Linked DNA regions of Alligator mississippiensis. The protein of the gene in region 2 interacts with the protein of the main gene of each other region in a pairwise test. Links are inferred from orthologs where the notes say so. Each region holds a gene or a part of one and is shown on either strand. Other genes may lie near its edges.

The links.
Region 1: the proteins of TRIM59 (region 2) and NRM interact in binary tests that used the Homo sapiens proteins (3 or more experiments, as listed by UniProt). The two-hybrid records come from large-scale screens. The link is inferred for Alligator mississippiensis from reciprocal best matches to the Homo sapiens genes TRIM59 and NRM.

Annotation. Positions count from the first base shown.
Region 1 is NC_081834.1:53,463,906-53,475,269, reverse strand, and holds NRM (nurim), read right to left. Parts: upstream 5,512-11,364; 5' UTR 5,470-5,511; coding exon 5,346-5,469; intron 5,259-5,345; coding exon 5,056-5,258; intron 4,975-5,055; coding exon 4,795-4,974; intron 4,563-4,794; coding exon 4,242-4,562; 3' UTR 2,901-4,241; downstream 1-2,900.
Region 2 is NC_081830.1:68,583,353-68,594,904, reverse strand, and holds the start of TRIM59 (tripartite motif-containing protein 59), read left to right. Parts: upstream 1-6,871; 5' UTR 6,872-6,977; intron 6,978-11,552. UniProt on the Homo sapiens protein: E3 ubiquitin ligase involved in different processes such as development and immune response. Serves as a negative regulator for innate immune signaling pathways by suppressing RLR-induced activation of IRF3/7 and NF-kappa-B via interaction with adapter ECSIT.

The DNA.
Region 1 (11,364 bases), on a different chromosome or scaffold from region 2:
GCGGGGCCTCCTGACAGCCCGGCACGCGGCGGCCGAGCGTCCCCGGGGCCCGGCCGGGAGGCCACGCGCTCCGGAGCCCGACCCAGCCTGCAGCCCGGCGGGGGCAGGGGCAGGGGCAGGGGCCGGGGCAGGGGCCGGGCGCGGCGCGGGGGACCCCGTCGGGCTTTCCTGGGGTGGGTGGGGGCTCCTTTCAACCCACCGGAGGGGAAGGGGTGCGGGAGGGGGCAGCATAATTACCCCGGCGAGCGGCGGGACCCAGGCGTCCGGGCTGGGAGGCTTCAAGCGCTCCGTGGCTCGCAGGACCCGGGCGTCGGAGTGATGGGCAGGGAGGGAAGGAGGCTCCTTTTGTCCCGGGCGGGGCTCGGGGGTTCCGGACCGCGGGGCAGACGGAACCAGGCGCCCGCCCCGCGCCGGGCAGGCAGGCAGGGAAGGAGGGAGGCGGGGAGGGGGTTCCCGGTCGCGGGAGTTTCGCGGAACCGGCGTGGGGGTGGGGGCAGCCCCGGGGACCCAGGCGTCCGGGGGCGGGCGCCGCGCGGCTGGGCGGGCCCCGATCCGGGGGGCCCCGATCCGCCGGGGCGGGCGCTGCCGCCGCCGCCGCCGCCTCCGCCGGGTCTTTGTGTGTGAAGGCGCGGGGAGACAATGCGGGGCGGGGCGGGCGGGCGGGGGGCGCCGCGGGATTCCTGCACAGCGCCCACGGGCAGCGGCCGCGGCGGGCAGAGGCCGGCACGGATTGACTGCGCTCGACAGAGCCGGGCCCCAGCGCCCGCACCCGGGCAGGCAGGGATCTGCGGGGGGAGGCGGTGTCCTCCACACCCCCCGGCCTCCCCTCCACACCCCGCTCGTCCCCCTACGCGCGCGCGCACACACACACACACACACACACAGCCCCCCTACTTGTGCACCCCCAGCATCTCACACACCCCTCCAGCATCCCCTTACACACACACACCCTCGCGTCCTACACCCCCCACCCTCCTCCTATGCACATGCACACACACATACACACACCCCAGCATCCCCCTACACGCGCGCGCACACTTTCCTGTAGGGTTGGCAAGCTGGTCAACTGACCACATATTTTTTTGCCCAAAGATTATAGTGATTTTAGGAATATATATTTGTATGTTTCTTGATGGAAACAAGATTTTTTTTTACTGTTTTCTGACACACTTTATAATGGAAAATTTGTGGTTTTTCTGCATCGTATTTGGACCTGTTGACATTTCTGGGGGGTGTTTTTTGTTTTGTTTTCTTTTTTACAATAGTTGATGGATATTTGACAGGTCAATTAAACAAGCTGTATTTGACAGGTCAAATACCTAACTTTGCTTTGCTCCTTGTTCACGTGGTTCCCCAGCCAGACACGCGTGTCACACAGGCTCCTTACAGCCCCCACTCCCGCCCCTGGCTCTCCATCCAGGATGTGAGCTATGCACGGCCTGACCCACTGAGAGGGGAAGCCAAAGCCTAGGGCAGGCCTCAGCCCCCCTGTTCCCAGCAATGTCAGCTGAGGCCTGCTCTGCTTAGCTCTGACCACCAAGGGGTGGCCCCTGCCACATCTCCAGCCCTGCCTTTGTGGGAGCATTGCTATACACACAGACTCCAGCGGCCAAGCTGAGGGAACAGACACAGCATCACCTTCACACTGGCACCAGTGGGGAGACATGGGGTGTTGCTCTGGGAGAGTTCATGTAACAACACTCCCCCCCACCCCCCAAGAGAATAAGTGCTGATGGATATCCCAGGTGAAGGCTGGTACCAGCTTGTTCCACGGTACAATCATTTCTGAACTCTTCATGTGGGTAGCCTCAACACCTTGGGAAGTGCTTCACTCAGCTCTGTCCCACAGTACAGACACCTCCCATCCTAACACCCCCAGTTTCAGCTCTCTTCTTACCATCCCCTGGAGCATTAGCTCCAAAAGAGAAAGGAAAGAGGGTGATACTACACCCACAGTCAGTGCGGGTCCCTGGTACAATGTTCCTAGACTGCTATGCGGCGAACACTTGTCTTCCCTAGGGTAGCCCCTGCTGCTGTGTTGGCACAGTTCCTTAGTGAAAAAGTGTATGCCAACAGGACTTTTTCACGGCTGTAGAACAGGGTGGCACCAACCAGGCCTTGGTGCAGACACAGCTCCACCAGCAAAGACATGTTTTCTGCTGCGCACCGTGAGCTGGTGAGTCAGCATCTCCGGCAGAGCTGCTGGTGGCACAGCTCTGCCCATCAGGGGTCACATCCTGGACTGACTCAGCCTTGCCAAAGAAAGGTTGCAATGGGGACAGAGTGGCAGGTGGGGAAGTAGAGGACGGGGCAGGGGGGAAGTCACACAAAAACACTGATGGGGGAAGGAGGGAGACTGATCTGGGAGTAGGGAAAAGGGGTCCCAGGGATACAGGTGGGTATGGAGAGGGAACATTAGGGTAGCATGGGCAAGCTGCCCCATGACCCCGTGTGTGTAATGCCTTTGGCTGACCAGAACAGGGTGCAGTACCCAGTGCCTGGCATCTCTGTGGCAGCAATGCCCTCTAGTGGGAAGAACAGCAACAGCTCATGTGCTTGTAAAGATGTGCTGACAGGCAGGAGCTAAATTTCCCTCCTTCCTTAGTGCCAAGATGATGCTTTGGGAATAGGAGGACCCGAACTTTCTGCCCCAAGCTCCCTACCACGTCTAACAGCCCAGATGAAAAGCATGCAATCAAGAGATGGATACCCCAGACACTTTCATTCCAGGTATATTGCAGAGAGTGAGACAGAGCACTGCGATACGGCTTGCTGGCTGCATACCCAAGTGTTGCCCTAAGCCAGGCACCACCACCCTCCCTGAGCTGCGGAGAGAACCCAGGAGTCCTGCCCCATGCTGTGCTACCCGTCTCACAGAAACATGTTTGTAAATGCAATAATTCTCTTTAGTTATTTATTTGTTTGTTTGTTTTAAACTAGCCTTTTCCCAGATCACTCAAAAACCCAAGATACAAAAATACTTTATCAGCTTCAGGTTCAAAACAAAACAAAACAAAAGAACCAAAAAAACCCCCACATGCACAAAAAGGCAGCGTTAAAAATAGAGGTTCTTCATTAAGGCATCGATTAAGGTTGGGGTTGCTTTCCTGAGTCAGAAATAGGACCCAGGTATCCTGAATCCCAGCTCAGCCTCTGCTCTACCCACAGGACCCCCTTCCTGAGTGCTGGTGATGGAACTCAGGGGTCCTGATGCTCAGCCCCTCTGCTCTAACCCATCGGACACCATTCCTCTCCAAGACGGGGCCCAGGGATTCTGGTGGACCCAAAATGTCCCAATCCCCATAATGAATTAAGCATTAAGCTAGAACACTTGCATTAAGCTAGGAGACCTGAACATCAGCAGGCTTTGGATTTTGTGGCACAGTTCCTAGCTAACTTTTAATAGGAGCCTGGCACTCACTGCAGGGAAGAGGCCCTATGTCCTGATCCCCATGTCTTGACTCCCCTGCTCTCCCCACACCTTCAATGCATCCACTGGCCACTGAAGTGTGGGAGGTCAGAGCCAAGGCCCCAGAAAGGGATGGACTTCCCTTCCTATTAATCATCCCTCCTTTCCAGCTCATCTTCATATCACTCGAGCCATTTTTTTGCCTTGTACCTAAATACAGAAGAAACAGTACCCTACTTTCATTTTTAGAAACCATTTTTCAAGACTTTTGCAGCAGAGATTGGCGACACGTCCATCACTATGGGGAAGGCAGTAGGGAAGAGCCCAGGAGTCCTGATTTCAAATGCCTCTGAAACTATTAAACCCAGGGCTCAAAATAGAAGGCAGGAATCCTGACTCTGGACCTCCCCACTGTAACCCAGACTTTACTCCCCTCTCAGAGCCAGGAATTGAACTTAAGGACCCTATGAAAGAAGAGTGTTACAATGGGGGAGGGAGGAGAGAGACCAACCTCTACCGAGCTCTGTAAGGCCAACGGTATCTAGAAAGTGGAGCTGGGCAAGTGGGCTGGGAGCCTGGACTCATGGGTTCTACTGCAGCTCTGGGAAGGAAGAGTGTTCCAGTGGGTCACAGCATGGGGAAGGGAGCCTAGACTCCAAGGTTGCTTTTGCAGGCAGCTGTGACTTCTAGGGACTCAGGAGAGATCCTAACACTACAGTACTAAGTGCAGAGCTAAGGGCATCAGTGCTTGGCAAGGTGGGGGGTGGGGAAGGGCACCACTGCGCCAGACCTCCCCCTAGGTAAAAGCCATCCAGCAGGGTCCTGCTCCCACTCAGCTCTCCTTGCTCAAGACAGGGCCGTTGCGGGCCAGCAGGTCCCCATAGGCAGCTTCCTCACGGGAGAAGACCTGGAACTTCTTATCAAGCTGGGCACGGAGGTAGAGGTAGTCCTGTTGGTCCAGGCTGTGCCCGCAGGTCATGTAGGCGGTGAAGAGGGTGGCCAGCAGGAGGCGGTCCAGGGAGAGGCAGGGCACGGCCCACAGGATGAGGAGAAACTCCAGGTACACGGGGTGGCGCAGGTGGGAGTAGAGCCGCACGGCACGCACCGACTTCAAAGCCAGGGGGTCACCCATGCCCAGGCAGTGGTAATAGACCTGCGGCAGGGCACGGCACGGCATGAGGGCAAAGCAGGTTGGAGCCGAGAGAGGAAAGCCCCCAAGACTGCCCCCCGCGAGCCCAGGCAGTGGTAACAGACCTGGGGCAGGGGACCTGCAGCAGGTTGGAGCCAAGAGGGGAAAGACCCCAAGACTCCTTCCTCCCCCTTTCCACCCCCCCAAGCTAATCCCAGTCCCTGAGCCCCTGGATCCTCCTCCCTCCACCCAGTACCTGCTTGACCCCCATGAGCTCGGCGTAGTCGAAGATGAGGATGATGCTGAAGATGATGAGCCAGGCCACGAAGTGCAGGATGAAGCAGGCCAGCAGCACCCAGGTGGCCCAGGGCTCCGAGCGGGAGGCGTCCCACAGCAGCGGCCCGTCCCGCACCGGCTGCCAGCACCGCATCAGCACCTGCGGGCGCCCGCTCTGCTCAGCCCGGCCCGGCCCGGCCCGGCCCGGCCCCGCCGCGCCCCGCCCCGCCCCGCCCGGTACCTGGAGCGCCAGCGCGGTGCAGCACACGTAGCAGGAGCGGTGCAGCACGCCGAGGCAGCGCGCGGCCCAGCGCTTGGCCGGCGCCGAGGCCATGAGCCAGTGCTGCAGCACGAAGAGCGCCACGAGCCCCAGATCGGCCGCCAGCGCCCGCAGCACGCGCGGGTCCCGCAGCGCCGCCGCCCACTCGCGCCCGGCCGTCGGCTCTGCACGGGGCGGCAGCGGGGTGAGCGCGGCCGCCCCGGGGCTCGCTCGCCCCCCCGCCCCGCCCCCAGCCCCGCTCCCCGCCCTACCCGGCCGCGCCCCGCCGGGCAGCACGGCGCGCAGCGACACGAAGCGAACCAGCTCCACGCCGGTGCCGAAGGCGAAGAGGAAGCTGCCCAGGGCCGGGACCACGAGCAGCAGCGCGGGCGCCATGGCGCGGGCACCGGGGCGGGGACTCCCGACTCGCGCCTCCAGCCAGCGCCGCCCTGCTGGGGAGGGGCTTTCCCCGGGGCTCCCCTGTGACGCGACTTCTCCTAGGGCCCGCCCCCAGGTGGGAGGAGCTCCCGCAGTGGGCGGGGCTCTGCGGATGCTCCATTCTCCTGTCTCTCGCTGGGGTCTCGCCAGCTCCGCAGCCCTGCCCCGGGGTCTCCCATCCCGCCCCGCCCGGAGCTCCCTCCAGCCACCGGCCCCTGCTCCCTCTTCTAGGGTCCCCCCGCTCAAGGCTGCCCCGGGCTGCTCCCTCTTTCCCCCAGAGTCCCAGGATTTTTGCCCCTGGACCCTGCAGACCCCACACCCCACCCGCGCAGGGCAGCCTTCCCTCCCCCAGGGATTACCCCACCTCCAGCTCCGCGGGAAGGGCTGTCCCAAGGGTCTCTTAAGCCCCTCCTAGGTCTCCCACCCACACATCTTATTTTTTTATGAATGTGTTTCGTGTTCCAGATCGAATCAGTTCCAAATCATATCATAGTGTCATAGAAAGGGTAGGAGGGGACCTCAGGGGGTCATCGTGGTTCTCAACCCGTGGGTCCTGACCCAAAAGTGGGTTGCAAGAATATTTCAATCAAAGGGTCATGAGTAAGTGCCAGAAAATCATGCAAAAGCATGGGTTTACCCTTGTAGGCTGCAAGGGGCTGCTTGAGGCATGGCTAGCATGCAGCCAGGCACAGTCATACAAGCAGCCCTAGCAGCTGGATGAAGGTAAGTGCATGGGGCGTGGGGGTTGGAGGGCCAGGGCTTGGGGACTGTCGGGGTGTGGAGGGGATGGGTGTTGGGGAGAGGTACCTGCTGGCACTGGGGGATGGTGGCTGAGTGCCCGGGCACCAAGGCTGCAGCAGGGCAGGGGGGGCAGGGCACTGTGGGTCGGGCAATAGCAGGGCTGGGGGATGTGGGTCTGGACAAGCCATCAATCTTTGCAAATGGGTCCCAATACGAAAGAACCACTGTTCTAGTCCAACCAACTGCTCAAAGCAGGACCAGCTCCAACTAGATCATCTCAGCCAAAGCTTTATCTAGCCGGGTTTGAAAACCACCAAGGATGGAGCTTCCACCACCTCTCCGGGTAACCTGTGAGTAGAACTCGATTGAGTAGAATTCAATTGTTCCAAAAAACATATTGATTGAGCAGGCAGCACTTGATCATTCTAGATGCCATGTATGGTGCTACAACCCCCGAGCATCCTCCATCCCAGGCTCTCACCCTGGGACTTCAGATATTTCCAAATCCATTGGTATGCATCCTACAAAGCCCGGAGGTCTTAGTGTTCAGATGCCCCCACCAAGACACTTGATCTGAGCCAAAAGTCTCCCACCCACACATGAGATGCCCTCCACAGCGTCATATCCTCCGTCTCCAGTGCTTCTGCAGAGACTGGCCTCATCATCCCGCACTTGAAGCCCCCAAATTCTGTTCCCCAATATGAGGGGATGCCCCCAGAGCTCCTCATTCGGATGCCTATGGTGCCCCCTCCCCAATGCCAAGGGCTTCTCCAGGTGTTACCAAATTTGCCCATTACTTTGGGGTGTGCTCATTTATTAAAGAATAGTTTCTAGGGTCTTGGTGATTCTGTCAATGTGCTGCTTGTGTTACTATACGGAGCTGTCTCTCTCCCTTCTGCAAGCCCTCACCCCCAGTGGAGCTATCTTGCAGGACTCAATCTCAATGGGACTGGGTTCCTCCAGTCACCAAATCAGTCACACACACAAACACACACAAATTAATGTGACACGCCTGACCTGGCCGGGCTGATCAGCATGGACAGGCTGACACCCTCGTATGCCAAGAATCAGTTCATAAGAGCAACAATAAAATGCAGTCAAACACAAGCACACAGGTAAACAGAATCCCTCTGAATCCAGCTGGGTGTCCAGCTGACAACCTCATGGGCCAGCATTCAGTTCATAAGGGCACGTCTGAGTCAAACTGGGTCAATCAGCCTGTACAAGCTGATCCCCTTATGTGTTTCAAACTCAGCACGTCCCAATCTTTGGCCTCTGGATGAGCAGACCCCACAATAATTTAGGCTTCACAGGGATCTTTAGCATAGGTAAAAGAAGCGTTGCTGCAAAGCACGGGAGGAAAAAGAAGCAGAGAAGGAAAAATATACCCAATTACTACCAGTTTGCCTATAAAAGTTATTTATTGCTAAGCATATGAAATATATAATAGTACTAGTAGTAATAGACATGCTAAAGAAAAACAAACACAAACAATGACAATACTACTCTGGTTTCACTAAGTATTTGGGGAAACGTAGCTCAAGCTTAACTAATACAGTTCAGGTTCAGAAGTTTATGCCTAGACGGAAGAGAGAAAATGCTGGGATCTCACCTAGTCCACGGTACTCAGGCTGCAAAGCTGACAGGCACAGTCCGTAGCACAATCCTTGAAGAGAGAGACGATCTGTTCTTCCAGCGTCCCAAGAATGACAGGGGATGGTGTCAGCACAGGAGTTTTCTTCTTCTTTTCTTTTCCTCTTCTTCTCCTTTCCTCCTGCTGCTGCTTCTTTCTTTCTCTCTTTTTTTTCTCTTTTTAAGCACACACACTTACAGATTTTTATACCCTCAATTCAGCTGCTTCGAAGCACCCTCAGTAGTGTAAATCATTGTCTTTTCTATTGACAAAGGGTTAACTGGTTTGGACCATCTCAGGAAACTGATTGATAATCAGGAAACACTTAAGATTAGGGAGTAACCCAAATACTTGGGAGCCAGCTTGAGATTCCTCTGGATGGCAGATATACTGATGGGATATCTTATGGTTTCTTCAGGAACAATAGATAGCTTGCAGCATCAGGATTTGGGATTTTTACTTGTTGTGCACAAGCCTCAGCTTAGCATGACTTTTCCAGATCTAAAGCAATTATTGGGGTGCTCATAACCTTTTGTGGAGAGGACTTCCACCAGTCGTCTCGGGAAAGATACGACAACACCTGGGATTAGGGCTCCAGCAGGCTGGATGCTGTGATGAACCCTTAACCATTGTTCAAATGTTGCCCATACCCCCTCGGACTCGGTCTCTTGCCTCAGCATTCCCTAACCCGGCAACTGAGTTTTAGTCAATCAGGTTTAAATAGGCCTCCCATAGTGGGACCGGGGAATGTACGGCCCGAGATGCCTATTAAACTTAGAGCTGTGTGTGTGTGTGTCTGGGGGGAGAAAAGTCCTTAGCAAATCCAGATTAGAACGGGTCTGATAAATGCTGAGCTGGGTGTGTGTGAACATGGGTTGATTAACATTGGAAGCACAGATTCCCCATCATGCAGTGCTCTCCTGCTTCTCTGGTCCCAGAATTCACTGCAGTCTCTGCTTCAGGCTTTCTGTTTTCCATCTCTCATGTAAATGAATGGTCATCTGGTTCCATCTCGGATGTAAATGAGACCTAGGGCAGTTGTTCACTCTTATCACCCTTATCTGGAGAGTTTTAGGTGCGTCTCTCACTGCATCTTAATCAGTTTCGTTTAGGTAGAGGAGGGGAGGGAGGGGGTGAGTCCTTGTGAGTCAGACAGACTGCATCCTGTGCCAGGGTTGCCCAAGAACACAGAGCTGAGACGTAACACAGGGTCTGTCTGGTCTTTGTGCTGATCTGTTCCACTGTGACTGCCTTCTCCTCCCTCTGTAGTCCCAGAGCTGCTTGGGAGACACTGTCATTGCTCAGTATTACCAGGGCATGAACCACACTCAAGCCTGGCAGAATCCTGTCTCAGAAAGGACAATCTTGGAGGGCAGGCATGGATCTTGTGGCTAAAACTGAGCTGGATCTTTGGAGACCTGCATTTAGGTTCCAGCTTTGCCCCAGACCCATTCACTCTGCTTCAGGTTCTCTGCCTCTTCTCCAGAGTCTGTGCAGGGCCTGACACCTTGGGATTTTGGCTGGAACATTTAGGTGTAGTCATAATATAATGAGTAAGGAAAAAGTAGGGAGGGGTGAAGTTGTGCTATTAATCATCAGGAGCAATAGCTTTAATAAATAGGGATGCTGAGAGGCCTGAGACTGTGTAACTGCTAATAGAACTACTGTTTGGTTTTGTCCCTTTCATCTAAGGATCTCAAAGTGCTCTCAGAACAACAATTAATTAAATCCCTGAAAAAACTCATAGTAAAAGGGGATGTTATTGTCCTTGTTTTATAGATACAGGGCAAGTGGCTTGAAGAGGAAACAGAGCTAGGATAAAACCCAAGAGTCCCTCCTTCAGTTCCCTAGTCCTGCATATCTCCCATACCGCCAGTCTAACTCACTGAACACTGCTCCAGTCTTGGGACTGGGGACAGATCCCAAAAGTCATGGGTTTTCCCAGTCCACTACTCACCACTTTCTTCCCAGAGCTGGAGGCAGAACCCAGGAATCCTGACTCCCAGCCTCCTCTTCTCTTACCTCTAGATCAGTGGTTTTCAAACTGTGGTCCATGGACACCTGGAGGACTGCAGACTACATCTTAGGGGGTCCATGAAAGATGACTGATCAATCAAAAGTATGCAGATACCCCCATTTACAGTCCAAAGGGGTCCACACCTCCACTCAAAATTTCCAAGGAGTTCACACCTCCATTCAAAATGTTTAGGGGTCTGGAAATGGAAAAAGGTTGAAAACCACTGCTCTAGACCAGGGGTGTGAAACGTATGAAGCATTCCATCTGGCTCACCCTGGCAGTCCAGTAGGCTACTGGAAGTGCGGTAGAGCAGAATTCAATCCCAGTGGACATGACTATCGGTGGCAGCCCCTTAGTTCTGTACTGCTGCCCGAACACGGCTCTGTGCAGCTGCATGTCCCCAGCTCTGTGCTGCTGCCCTGCCTGAGCTGCCACATGACTCATGCTCCTCACTGACTCATGCTTCTGGCTTTGCGCTGCCCAAATGTGGCTCCATGCAGCTGCCTGGCCCCAAGCCCATGATGTTGCCTAAGCATAGGCCCAGGGGTCCAGCCTACGAGGAACCCTTGCAGTCTGGATATGGCCTGGAGCCTGGGGTAAGTTTGATACCCCTGCTCCACTCTCCTCCTAGACCTGGGAACAGAGCAGAGCCCTAGCCCCTGCTGTAATGACTACACTTTGCCCCAGTAATTTAGGCCTCTGGCAGACATGAAAAAAAATGTGTAAAACAGCAGTTTCAGAAGAGGCATTGCATCAGTTTGACCTGGCTTGTCCAGTGTTTGTATAGATTGCATGCTTCAGTGGGGCTTTTTGGTGCTTTTATCTAATAGCTGGTTCAATCAGCTATTACATAAAAATGCCAAAAAGCGCTGCTGAAGCACATGATCTATAAATAGGTTGGGTGAACTGGGTCAAACTGACTTGATACCTCTTCTGGGCCTGTCCTGCGCTTGACGTAGGGGCACACCAAGCTGAAAGTAAAGCACTGGGCTTTTTTTCATGTCTGTAAGCAGCCTTATAGGAGAAGGGCCTTGTAGGTAACAGTTGTAAGGTAACACTTGCTCTCTGCAATCTAGGAGGTCACATTTTATGGCTTCTGTTGTATCCCTCCTTTCCTTTCCCAAGCTCTATCCTTTTGGGGCACAGTTTCCTTGTGCCCCTACCCTCACTCCCCCCATGCCCATTAGGGGACCAAGATAGCCCCAATAAAGTCCTCCAACACCTTAATCTTTCTCTTCTTGCTGCAAGGTCAACACATTCCACCTGCTGGGACCTGGCAAAGCCAAGATGGGGTGGGGTAGCATCAGAGGGCATTCATCAGTGCCAGCTGACACCTGTTTGATCTGCAGATAATTGTAGAGCTGTTTGAAGCCACAACTGTGCCAAGCAGATGCCAAGCTCTCTGTGACCTCCATTTCTTTCTTTTAGGTTTCTAACCCCCCTCATCCTCCAAAATCAATGG
Region 2 (11,552 bases):
GGTAGGCAACGTTTTTTGGCTGGAGTACAGAAAACCCCACAATGCCTACCTTGGAAGGTGTTGGAGTGCTGGCATGCCAGAAAAACAAAATGAGGGCAGGGGGTACATTGCAGGATGCCCTGCGTGTGCCCCTTGCCCCCCAGCCCTGCTCATGACCCTTGTCTCCCACCTAAAGCCCGTGCCCCAGCCAGGGTTCTGTGACTGTCAGCAATTACCCAGAACCTGAGCCAGCTGCAAACAGCTGCTGCTTCCCAGCCCCAGCCATGGACTCTAGGGAGGCAGCACATACTGGCAGTGCTCCCTGCTGTGCTGCCCTCAAGCAGCGTTGGAACCCAGTGCGGCAGGGCACAGAGGGGGAGGCGCAGAAAGCTGCCAGCTCCCCGCTGCCCTGCCACACTTCCCCTGTGTGCCGGGGGAGCAATGCAGGGAGCAGCGTGGGCAGCAATGTAGGGAGCTGGGAGCAGGCAGCTTACTGTGCCCTGCCATGCCAGGTTCCAATGTGCGGTGCAGGGAGCACTGCTGGTGTGTGCTGCCTGGGTCTGGGGCGGGGGCAGAGAGGCAGCAGATGTTTGCAGCTGGCCCAGGTTTTGGGTAACTGCTGACAGCCACAGAGCCTGGGCTGCTTGCAGCAGGGCTTCCATGGGAGCAGCCTGGGCTCTGTGGCTATCAGCAGCTACCCAGAGCCAGAGCTGGCTGCAGCCGGGAGGCTACGAACAGCTGCTGCCTCCCGGCCCCAGGCAGGCAGCAGGTGCTGACACTGTGCCCGTTGGGGCCAGGGCTGGGGAGGTAGCAGCTGTTTGTAGCCTCTAGGCTGTAGCCAACCCTGGCTCTGGGTAGCTGCTGGTAGCCACAGAGCCCTGGCTGCTCCCAGCAGGGCTTGCAGCATCCCAGCTGCCTGCTGGGAGCAGCTACCCAGAGTTGGAGCCAGCTGCAGCCAGGAGGCTGCAAACAGCTGCTGCCTCCCTGGCCCCAACATATGCCAAGGAAAATGGCCTCACATGACATGCTTAGCATGCATCCTGGGGGTTGCCGACTCCTGAGCTAGACCATTCTCAGTCGTGGCAGATGACAGAAAAAGAAGCAGTGGTCTCAGATTGCACCAAGGGAAGTTTGAGGTTAGGTATTAGGAAAAACTCTCTCACAAGGAGGGTACCCAGAAAGGTTATGGAATCTCCATCCTTGGAAGTTTTTAAGATTGAGCTGGACAAAGGCTTGGCTGGGATTATATAGTTGGGGATGGTCTTGTGGTGAGCAGGGGTTGGACTAGATGACCTACTGAGGTTCCTTCCAACCCTAACTTGATTCCATGTAAGTTTTATGAGGAACAATGAATGGTCTGGACAACCTTCAGTGTGTAGAGAGAGCCTTTTCACTGAATTCGTTATTGCCTTCCAATAAAAAATGCATTTTTCCTGGAATCTCAAGTTTTGCAACTAAGAAGATTGTCCCAATTGCTGGGGGGTGACCTAAGACAACAAAATGGCACCAGCCACTTCTAGAGTCCTCTGCAAAGGAGATCTTGTCACTAGTTGAAATCTTATAAGGAACATAAACTGTTTCCGGCAACTTTAAGGCAATTGTCAGCAACCCTATAAATATGCTCTAATAACGAACTCATGTTTCACCAGGAATGCTCAGCTTGAAATTTGGAATTGTAAAGTCAGCAAAGAGTGATTCTGCTGCGTGATGCTGCCAATTAGCCCATCCATGCAGCTAGTTGATACTGCTTCCAGTTTAGCAGACAGTGCATGTTTGAGGATACTGCTAGCAGGGACAGTAAGTTTACCATATACATCCTTGTTCCTTAGGAGACCAAGATATAAATGTACTAGCCCATATGATCCTGAGACTTAGTTGGACTGTGCAACTAACCTATTTTTTGAAGAGGAATTATTAGGTAATGACCACTTTGCCTATTACCATAGCTTAACTTTTCCCTCCTCATGAACCAAGTGGCTAATTCCTTGGGTAGTTAGTATGACACTGCTTAATGTGGATCTGTGCATGAGGATAACTTGTTTACAAGCACAGATCAAATGGACACTGCTAGTAAAATGCCTGCTCGTAGGCACGTGGAGCGCACACACCATGTATTCACACATCTCAAAGAACTGCAACATGTCTATGAAAGAAAAAAATATTTATTTGTTTTTTATATATATAAGGCAATTCCAAAAAACAGCCTCTCAACACTCCTCTAACATTCGGAAGATGTAGGCAGCCCTATCAAGTCTGGAAATGGGACCAGTGGGAGCTCCGTGACGGATCAATCCTAAGTAGCTAGTTGAAATCTTACACAAAGTGAATCTGAACTTGACTGGAGAAGCTTGCCTCAGACTTGGTATTTTTTTCCCCACTTCTTAAGAAACAGTTTTTAGATCCCTTTGTTGAAGTTCTTTTTCTCTGGTGAGGAAAAAAAATCACCATCCCAGGTTCAGTTCTGTGTTGTCTAATGGCCAGATCTTCCTTTGCCTGGGGTTCAGTTTCTCTGTAAAGGGGAGACTCTGGGACACTTGGGTTTCTGTTTTTCCCCTACGTGAATGGGAGACTTTCATCCATAAGGACTTCAGTTTCCTCTTCAATGAAAGCAAACAGCATAATGGGCTGCCTTTGGGGTTTCGTCTCTTTCTACGAAAGGGAAGTTTCCTGCCACTTGGATGAGCTCCTTACCTCGGGAAAGGAGAACCTGAAGCCCATCAGCCTCACCCTTGGTGGAGGGGCAGCCCCTGAGCTCGCCTCACGCGGTGCGAGTGAGCGGCTCCTCGCCACGGGGCAGCCTCACACTGTCTGAATGCGGCGCTTCTCGCCCACCGGGATCTCTCCCTCCCTGCAGTGGGGCAAGACGACCTGCGAGTCGAGCACCTCGTCCTCGCGGGGCCTGACGAGCGGCGGCCCCCTCCTCCCGCGCCTGCCCGCCTGGGAGTGTACCGAAGTCACGAGGCGGGCCGAAGCGCTGCAGCTGAAGCCGGTGGCGGCGGCCGCTAGGGCGCAGGCCAGGATGCACATGAAGAAGCTGGGCCCGAAGGTGGAGGTGAGGCGAAGGGGCTGCAGTTCCTTCTCCGTCTGCAGCCTGCTGCGCGTCACCTCGAAGAGGCAGGAGCACAGCGCCGCCGCGCCCAGGGCGAGCAGCGCGGCCAGGCCGTGCAGGAACGGGGCGGCAGCGCAGGCTTGCTGCAGGCCCAGGAAGTCCAGCAGCAGGGCGCTGCAGCCGCTGAGGATGGCGACGAGGCAGCAGATCGCTATGGACAGGATGAGGGGCACCCCGGCCGGGCCCAGGAGAGGCGAGTCGGGAGGGGGAGCTATGGGGTTAAGGGCCCACACTGCTCCCAGCACGAACTGCACCTCGTCGCCGCTGACCAGGACCCAGCTGGGGTAGGCCCCGGCCAGGAACATCAGCCCGACGGCCAAGGCTTGGGCCACGACCGCTGCCAGGCTGCCCGTCCGCCTGCTGCCCGCCAGGCCCCGGAGGAGGCGGCCCGGATCCTCGGGGCCCTCCACCTCCATGGACCCGGGGCAGGGAGGGCGGAGGAGAGTCGGCTCCGGGCAGCTGTGCCCCGCCCCCGCCGCGCCGAGGCCGTGCTCCGATGGCCCGGGCGGAGGCAATGCTAAAAAGGGGGAAGGGGGAACAACCTGCTGCCGCTGCGCGGGGCGGGACGGGGACGGGCTGCAGGCAAATCCGCGACTTCCCCGGGGCCGGGGCCAGGCGCAAGGTTTGCTTGGTAAATAAATCCCCTAAAAGGAGATGCGTCTGCCTGAAGGACCCTGCGGGCTTTTGTCCCTTCTTCATTTTGTTAGTAAACTAGGGGAGGGGGCCGGTTTTAACCTTTGCTCTGCCTGTAGAAACATCCTCCAAGGTACAGCCTGACCTTGCCTGATGGTTACAAGGACACAGGTTTAAATTCTTGTAAGCAGCACATGCAGCTAAAAAAACCTAGTGTAGATAAAATTAAAAAGAAAGCTTTGCAGTTACCATTTATTTGTGGAATTACCAGCTTAATCGTTTTTTATTCAACATCACTTTTAAAAAAAAGATGTTGTTTGGCAGCCTTTTACATGAAAAAAATTCCTGTTACTGAATGGGTTACAGTATTGTTCACATCCAGGTCTCTGGTTTCAGTTGTCATAATCCAAATCAGGTTAGTAGTAATCAAATTTACTTAAAATCCACTTCAGATCAACAGTGACCAGAAATCATTATGATCTGATAGAGGATCAGTGCTCTGTAGGAATGAGTTTGATTTTAGTTCAGTTCGTTAGCTGGGCATTTGTATATTACAAGGTCTGCTGCCATAATTAGCCTGAATTGGCAATCTGAACAGACTAACAACTGAGCAGGTATGGAGGAGGTTCACCAACTCTCATCCACAAAGGTAAATCCACTCAGAGTAGGAGCTGTGAGACAAATAATATTTAATCTATTATGTAAAAATAATTTTATTATGAGAGCCTCTGTAAGCATTAAATTCACAGGAAGAAAAATATCTTTTGCTACCTACCTTTGAGGAAAATTCATATTTTTGTATCGGCAAAACTGCAGGGTTAATTGAGTGAAACACAAGAGAGAAAGATGTTATGCTTATAGAAGACCTTTTAAAATATTAGTTTTGTATTATCCAAGGCAGATGTTTAAGTATTTTGGAATGATGAGACTCTTAATATTAATTTGCCATTGCACTGTAAGTAATATGATTTGCTGACTTTTTTAAGGCTGCCATAATATTAGTGTCTAAGAATGTGTTTGAATTTTTATTCCCGTGACTTGACAAATTATAAATAAACCAACATAATCGTGTCTATGTGGAAAATGTACACACCACTGGGTATTTGACCTATAATGTTTTTAGGATTATCAGTGTAACAGATGGTAGATCACAATGCCAGCCACGAAATCCCTCAATGCGTCCACTTTCTAATACTTGCAAACTCTGTTTTTCCCACCTGGTATCCCAGAGCGGAGATGTTCTGGATCTTCCATTTCAATTCCACAGCCTTCAAGTCCCACATTGCAGTCAGAGCCTTCCTGGTCCTAGACTGAATTCTCTTCAAATCCTTGTTCATAGATTCATAGACATTAGGGCTGGAAGGGACTTCGTAAGATCATTAAGTCCAACCCCCTGCCCAAAGGGTAGGAAGTCAGCTAGGGTCAAGGGATCCCAGCAAGATAAGCATCCAAAAGGATACATTTTTGTTCCTTAAAAGTGCCCAGAGTAGGTCCTTGCACCACCTCTGTGGGGAGTCTGTTCCAGGCCTTGGAAGCTCAGACAGTAAAGAAGCTTTTCCTTATGTCCAGCCTGAAACAGTCTTGCAGGAGTTTGTGACCATTGGACCTTGTCATCATCTGGGGTGCTCTGGTGAACAGATGTTCCCCCAGATCCTGATGAACACCCCAATATACTTATAGGCTGGCACCAAGTCCACCCCTTTTTTAAAGTCCAAATGTATAATATCAACCTGTTCCCTTTTGTCCAGATGATACGTCACCTGGTCATAGAAGGAAATGAGATTGGTCAGGCAAGACCTACCTGCAACATGTAGCCTTCTGTTAGCCTGTCAAGAATGATTTCTTTGATCATTTTTTGATAATTTCTCTGATGATTTGTTGACCCTCCCTCATTTAATGAAAAAGATTTTCAACTGTCTGGAATTTGTGAAAATGCTGAATACTTCCAGTTGATTTTCAGTCCCTAAAGATTAGTAACTGGTATAAGTCTGATCTTACTTCCATTTGCAGATGATAAAAGCAGGTGGCAAAACATCTTTACTTTTGTACTGGTCTTCACTACTGAGATTAATTTTTACCCTTAACGCAAATGAAAATCCATAGAGAGCATTTTCCTGTAAGGCAGTTACCTGGGGAAACGAAATCCAAATAGACCAGCTCTGTATTTGTTCCATTTTGTTTTGCCTTGGGTTTCTTTATTGACAGTGAACAGCAGATCAGGGTTTAGTAACTGACTGTAGTGGCATCAGCAAATTAGTTCACCAGTTTCCTCTCCCTGGGCATAAGTAAGTTACTTCATCATTGTAAAACTATACTAGATAGCGTGCTTGTACGTGAAAGTCCTTGTTTAAATTTACAGGTTTAATCCTACTTGCTTGATGATATCACTGATGGTTGCCTTGATACTTTTCAGGTGGAGCCCTGATTTTATGTGATAAATACAAATAGCTGCAGTGTATGGAGCTGTGGGCCATTTCCTATGTTACTTTAAAGGCTCTTAAGTGTATTTATCAGGAGTCATAAATTTCTCATAAATTGTAATTTTAATTTTACTCCAGCAAGTCATCAGTTTGTACAGGACTAGTATTAGAAAACTGCAAAATCACTAGCAGTTGGAAATGCACGTAACTTTATGAATATTCAATAGATTCCTTGAATTTAGGATCTACGGTGCATCTCTGCCAGTGTTAGTAGCGATAGAAACACAAGAATAAGTTGGCGAGAGATTTTACTACCCGGTCCTCTTACTCTGGCCAGTTTCCTGCTGTAACCGCAGGGGTACGACTACTGCAAGAGATGAGAGGATGCGTGCTTTCTCCTTTTTCATGTGCACTGTAACTGCGTGACTTAACTGAGAGAGGAGTCTGAGGGAAAAGCCCTGAAGCCCTTGCTTCAGTTGTGCTCCGCTCCCAGCGGACCCTGCAGACCACCTGAAGGCAGCCCCTCGGCGCTCAGGGAGGGGAGCCTGCACTCGGCCTGTCCGCATTCGCATCAGCCGAGCCAAGGTTTCGCCTTTTATGTCGGAGGGAGAGAATGCGCTTCCGCGCGCGGTGACGAGGCCGGCGGGACCGTTGGTGGCCACGAGCCGAAGTTCGAAAGTGGCAGTTGGAGCCTGCCGTTTACTTTCAAACTGCGCGTTCCGCGGCGGTTGGCTGCAGCGGCGCATGCGCGCGGGGGTCTGCGGCCTCTGCCTGTCCGCCCCCGGCCGCAGAGGGCTGCTGTAGGCGGCGGGAGACGGACGAGTCCGCGCGGGCTGGTGAGTGCCCGGCTCCGGGGGCGGCGCGGCGCGGCGCGGCGAGGCGAAGGGATGCATGCGGGGAAGAGGCTCCAGCATTAAGTGGGGCGTGGGCCCCGCATCCACGGACTGTCACTGGCGCCGCGCAGGCGGCTTCCCCCGTGCCCCGCGCTGTCCGGGGATAATGGCTGCCCGTGGCGGGGGCACGGCCAAGAGCTGGCATCTTCTCGGGGCGTCCGAGTCTCCCGAGTCGGAGACGGTGCGGAGGGCAACGGGGTGGCCACAGACTGGATCCGGCCGACTGGTGGGCGCCCGCCTGGGAGCTGGATCCAGTCATTTGCCCGGCTGGATCCAGCTGGTGAGCCACCTTGTGCCCGCCCCTCCACCAGCTTAATTAGGTTTCACTGATTATGAGCATATGTTTATGTAAGGGGCGCATCACCCCTTGCATGAGGAAGGAAGTGGGGGAAAAAACAAACCTTGCCAGTGTGACCCGGAGGGGGCAGAAATCCCTTTTTGACCCCAAATCTGGCTGTTAGATTAGAGTCTGAATAAGTAAGCAAGTCCTTCCAGCCAAGCACCTGAGTGCTTTTGAAAGGGAACACCAGTGCACCAGTGGCGAAACTGGCTGTTGGCTTCTAGGTGTGGTGAAAAGGAAAAGACCAACCCCCCCCCCCCCAAAAGCAGAAGCCAGAAAGTATTGCATGTGGGAGGGGTGTGCTCAATTCTTCCTCATCCATGAAGGTGACAGCAGAAGCCCTGAAACTGTTGCCTTGTCAGCACAGATCCTGGTTTTCCCTGGTAAAAAGTCACAAATTATCTGTTTAAAAAACCCAAAATCCGTGATAAAAATTAAAGTCCCCCCCCACCCTGCTAGTGCTCCTCACTCCCCCACACAGCCTCCCCAGTCCTGCTCGTGCCCACTACTCCACCCACAACAGCCCCCCAGTCTCCCACAAAGGCACAGACACACAGACAAATACACACACACACCCTAGCAGGTTAGGTGTGGGGGAGGATGGGGGGGAAAGGAAAGGGTTGGGGGTGCAGATTGAGAATGGAGGGAGGAGAGGTGCATCTCTGCATGTTCCCGGAGGGCGGGATGAGGGTAGGCCACACATGCACCGCCCAGTCAGGGTGGGGGGGAAGCTCGCATGCAGCAGCCCCCCACACTACCGCCTCTGGTGGGGAAGGGGCTGGGGGCTGAGGGAGCGAGGATGTGTTGGGAGAAGACATGGAGTGCCTGCTGGCTGGTGGGCACTCCTGGTGCAGGTTTCCCCCGCACCTTCCTCTCCCTCAGCCCTGGGCAGATGAACATGTGGGGGGAGATGGGAATAGAGCGTGCCCCAGGGTGCAACAACGGAGGGGTGAGGGGCACTGCCAGCCCCACGCGACACACCGTAGTGCCCCCCTCCCCCCCACCTTGGCTCACTGTGCCCACTCCCAGGAGCAGGGCTGGGGGGGGGGAGGGGGGAGTGCAGTGGTCCCTCTCTGTGGCCCATATGTGCACCGCCTGGCTCGGGGGGGCCACACACGGACTACCACTGCACCGCTACACCTTGCACCTGTTGCCCGCAGCTGGAAAGCCACATGGGATATGGTGGCAGCTGCTGCGTGCGAGCCCTCCGTCCTCTCCAGGGCAGCCATGTGCAGCTCACAGAGGGTCACCGCTGGCCTGGTCCCCCTGACCCTGCTCCGGGCAACCAGTATGGTGGCAGCGGTGCAATGGTGCTGGCACAGGGTGGCTGCCACCATGCTGCTGCTAGTGGCTGGCATTGCACTGCCCCTGGCCTCTGCCCCCACACTGCATTTTTGGTTGCACACTGTGGCGGCCGCCAGCACTGCTGCACTGCCGCTGCTGTGCCCCACATCACTTGCCCAGAGCAAGGGTGAGGGCAGTAGTGCCCTTCTGCGGGCCCCACATGCCTGCTTGGCCGGGTGGGGCTCACACACGGTGGCTACCAGCACATCCCTGTGCGGCTTTCTGGCTGCGGGCAAGTGGTGCAAGGTGCAGCGGTGGCGGGTGCTCCGTGTGAGCTCCCCCAGACTGTGGCTCACAGAAGGACGCTGCTGCCCTCACTCCCCTGGCCCTGCTCCTGCGAGCAGGCACAAAATGAGCTGAGGTGGGGGGGGCGGCAGTGCCCCTCACACCTCTGCCGCTGTGCCCTGGGACACGCTCTGTTCCCCAACTCAATCTCCCTTCCTGCCCAGGCTGAGGGAGTGGAAGGTGTTGGGGAAAGCCCCACCAGGAGCGCCCGTTAGGCAGCAGGCATTGCATTTCTTTCCCTGACACATCCTCGCTCCCTCAGCCCCCAGCCAGCTTCCCCCCTCTCAAGCCCCACAACCCCCAAGCCCCACTCACCTCCAGGAATGAAGAAGAGTGATCCTGATGTAGCCTCTGGTAAGTGAGTGTGTTGGGTCCTGCCCTTTCCCCCTCCCCCTCCGGGCAGGGTTAGGGGTTTCCTGCCCTCTTGCAAACAGCTCTTGCAGGCTGGAACTCAGCTAGCCTGTAGAACTCTTCACAAAAGGGGGAAATCCATGGGTTTCCCCGCTGAAAGGGAAAATCCACGTGTTCTGATTAAATCAGGAATTCCGTGGTTTTTTTCCATTTTTATGTGGGAAATGGAAAACCCCGATGTTTGCTTATCAAACACCTTTCTCCTGGAGATGGATTCCTTTCACCCCATCATGGGGATACCAAGTACTTTAATCCACATGTGATATTAGGGATATAAATACTGATTAAAAAATACCTGCTTAACCTGTTATTACAATGCTTAAATGATTATTTGCTATGGCAACCCCCTTCCTGGCCCATGTGAAGCTGTTCTGGCCCAGTCTGCAGGGCACCCCTGCCCAGCCTGGCACCAGTGGGGTGCTTTCAGCCCCCCAGCTCAGTGACCTCCCAAGGGCTGCACCTGAGTGAGCTGGGCTGGCAGGTGGGTCCTCTGGGCTTGGGTGCAGAGGAGGCAGGTGAGTGGAGTGTTTCATGGGGCTAAACCACAGGCCTGGGAGAACCACCCTGTTCCATTTTACTTCCACCTTTCCCCTGCTGGTCCCTGGCTGTGGGGTGTGTGCAACAGTTGCAGCAACAGAAGGCACTGCATCCAGACAAGGATGGGTGCTATGGCACTGGGCTTTCAGTCTGTGGCTCTGCAAAGTCAGATCAGTGGGGTGCCGAGCCCCGGGCTGGCACCTGCCCCATCCCACCACAGAGGAGGGGCTACACCTGCCTGCGGGAAGCTGGGGGCCAAAGCGTTGACAAGCCCTGCCAGACAGGCCTGTTTGTTACACTTTAAAAGAGGCTTGTCCAGCGTACGGCCTGTGGGCCGCCATGCAGCCCGCCAAGGCATTTTCTGTGGCATGCGGTGCTGTGACAGGAAGCAAAAGTGAACATGGTTTACTTTAGTTCCCACCCCTTGTCCCTCCCCCAGCCCCTCAGTAGCTTCCTAATGGCTGCTGAAGGGCTGGGGAAGGGACAAGGTTCCCCCATGCACCACTTCAGCATGGCCTGGCCAGGTCCCTCACAGGGCCGGACCCCTCCCCAGCCAGGGGCGGTGCTGGCTGCAGCTGCTGAGTGGCCCTGCATGCCCCAAGGAGCCGGTGCCGCGGGCTTGGGGCAGGCGCAGGACAGAGCCTTCATGGGAGAACTTTGCCGCTGGGTGGCGGAGGAGCGGCTCCGCTTGCAGGTCTGGGACATGCCAGTCGCTGGTGGGGAGGGTGCGTGTCTGGGAGCACCCATTTTCCTGTCCCCGCCGCCCCGACAGGAGCCCGTGCCCTGCGCTGCTGGAGCAGCCCCGCGCAGGAGGCCAAGCAGCGGCCGCTGGCACTGCTGGCCTGTGCCTGTCTCCTCACCCGCCTGCTTCAAGCCAGCCCTCCTGCTCTGCCCTGCCCTGCCCCACAGCAAGGCGGTGCCTGCTCCCCCGGCCAGTCTCCCCCGGGCGCTGCAGCTCTCTGGGCCCAGCCACCCACACTGCGGCTCTCCGAGCCCGGCTGGGTCTGCACCGGCCAGCAGAAGCGGCAGCTGAGCCATGTGCCACTTGGGACAGGACAAGCCTACACCGGTCAGCCCTGAGCGACACATGGCTCCGCTGCCACTTCTGCTGGCTGGTGCAGACCTGGCCGGCCTCCTGTCCCCAGCAGCACATGGGAAGCTGGCTTCAGCTGCATGCTGCTTTTCCTGGCCGGTGCTGACCCAGTTCTTCCCAGGCAGGTCCTGCAGCACCATGTCAACCTGGGTATGGCACCGGCAGGCCAAGCGGGCCCCAGGTCAACCCCGGCCTGGCCCCTGGCTTCTCCAGCACCAGGGCAACCCGATTGTAGCCAAGTGGCTCCTGCAGCACCATGTCAACCCAGGCATGGCACCAGGCTGGCTGGGCACTAGGTCTGTAAAAATATTGTCTAGTGTTTGGATTGTGTTTGCTTCTGTTTCTCTTTGTTGGGGACTGGGGGTTCAACTTGTTACTGCTGGCTAAAGATGTGTTACTAACAAGTTATTAATTCAATAAAAGTAAATCTTCTTGAAGATTATTCTTAAAAAAGCCCATATTTTGTTGCTTTGATTAGTTTCCACTCTGGCTGATATCTTTTCCACAT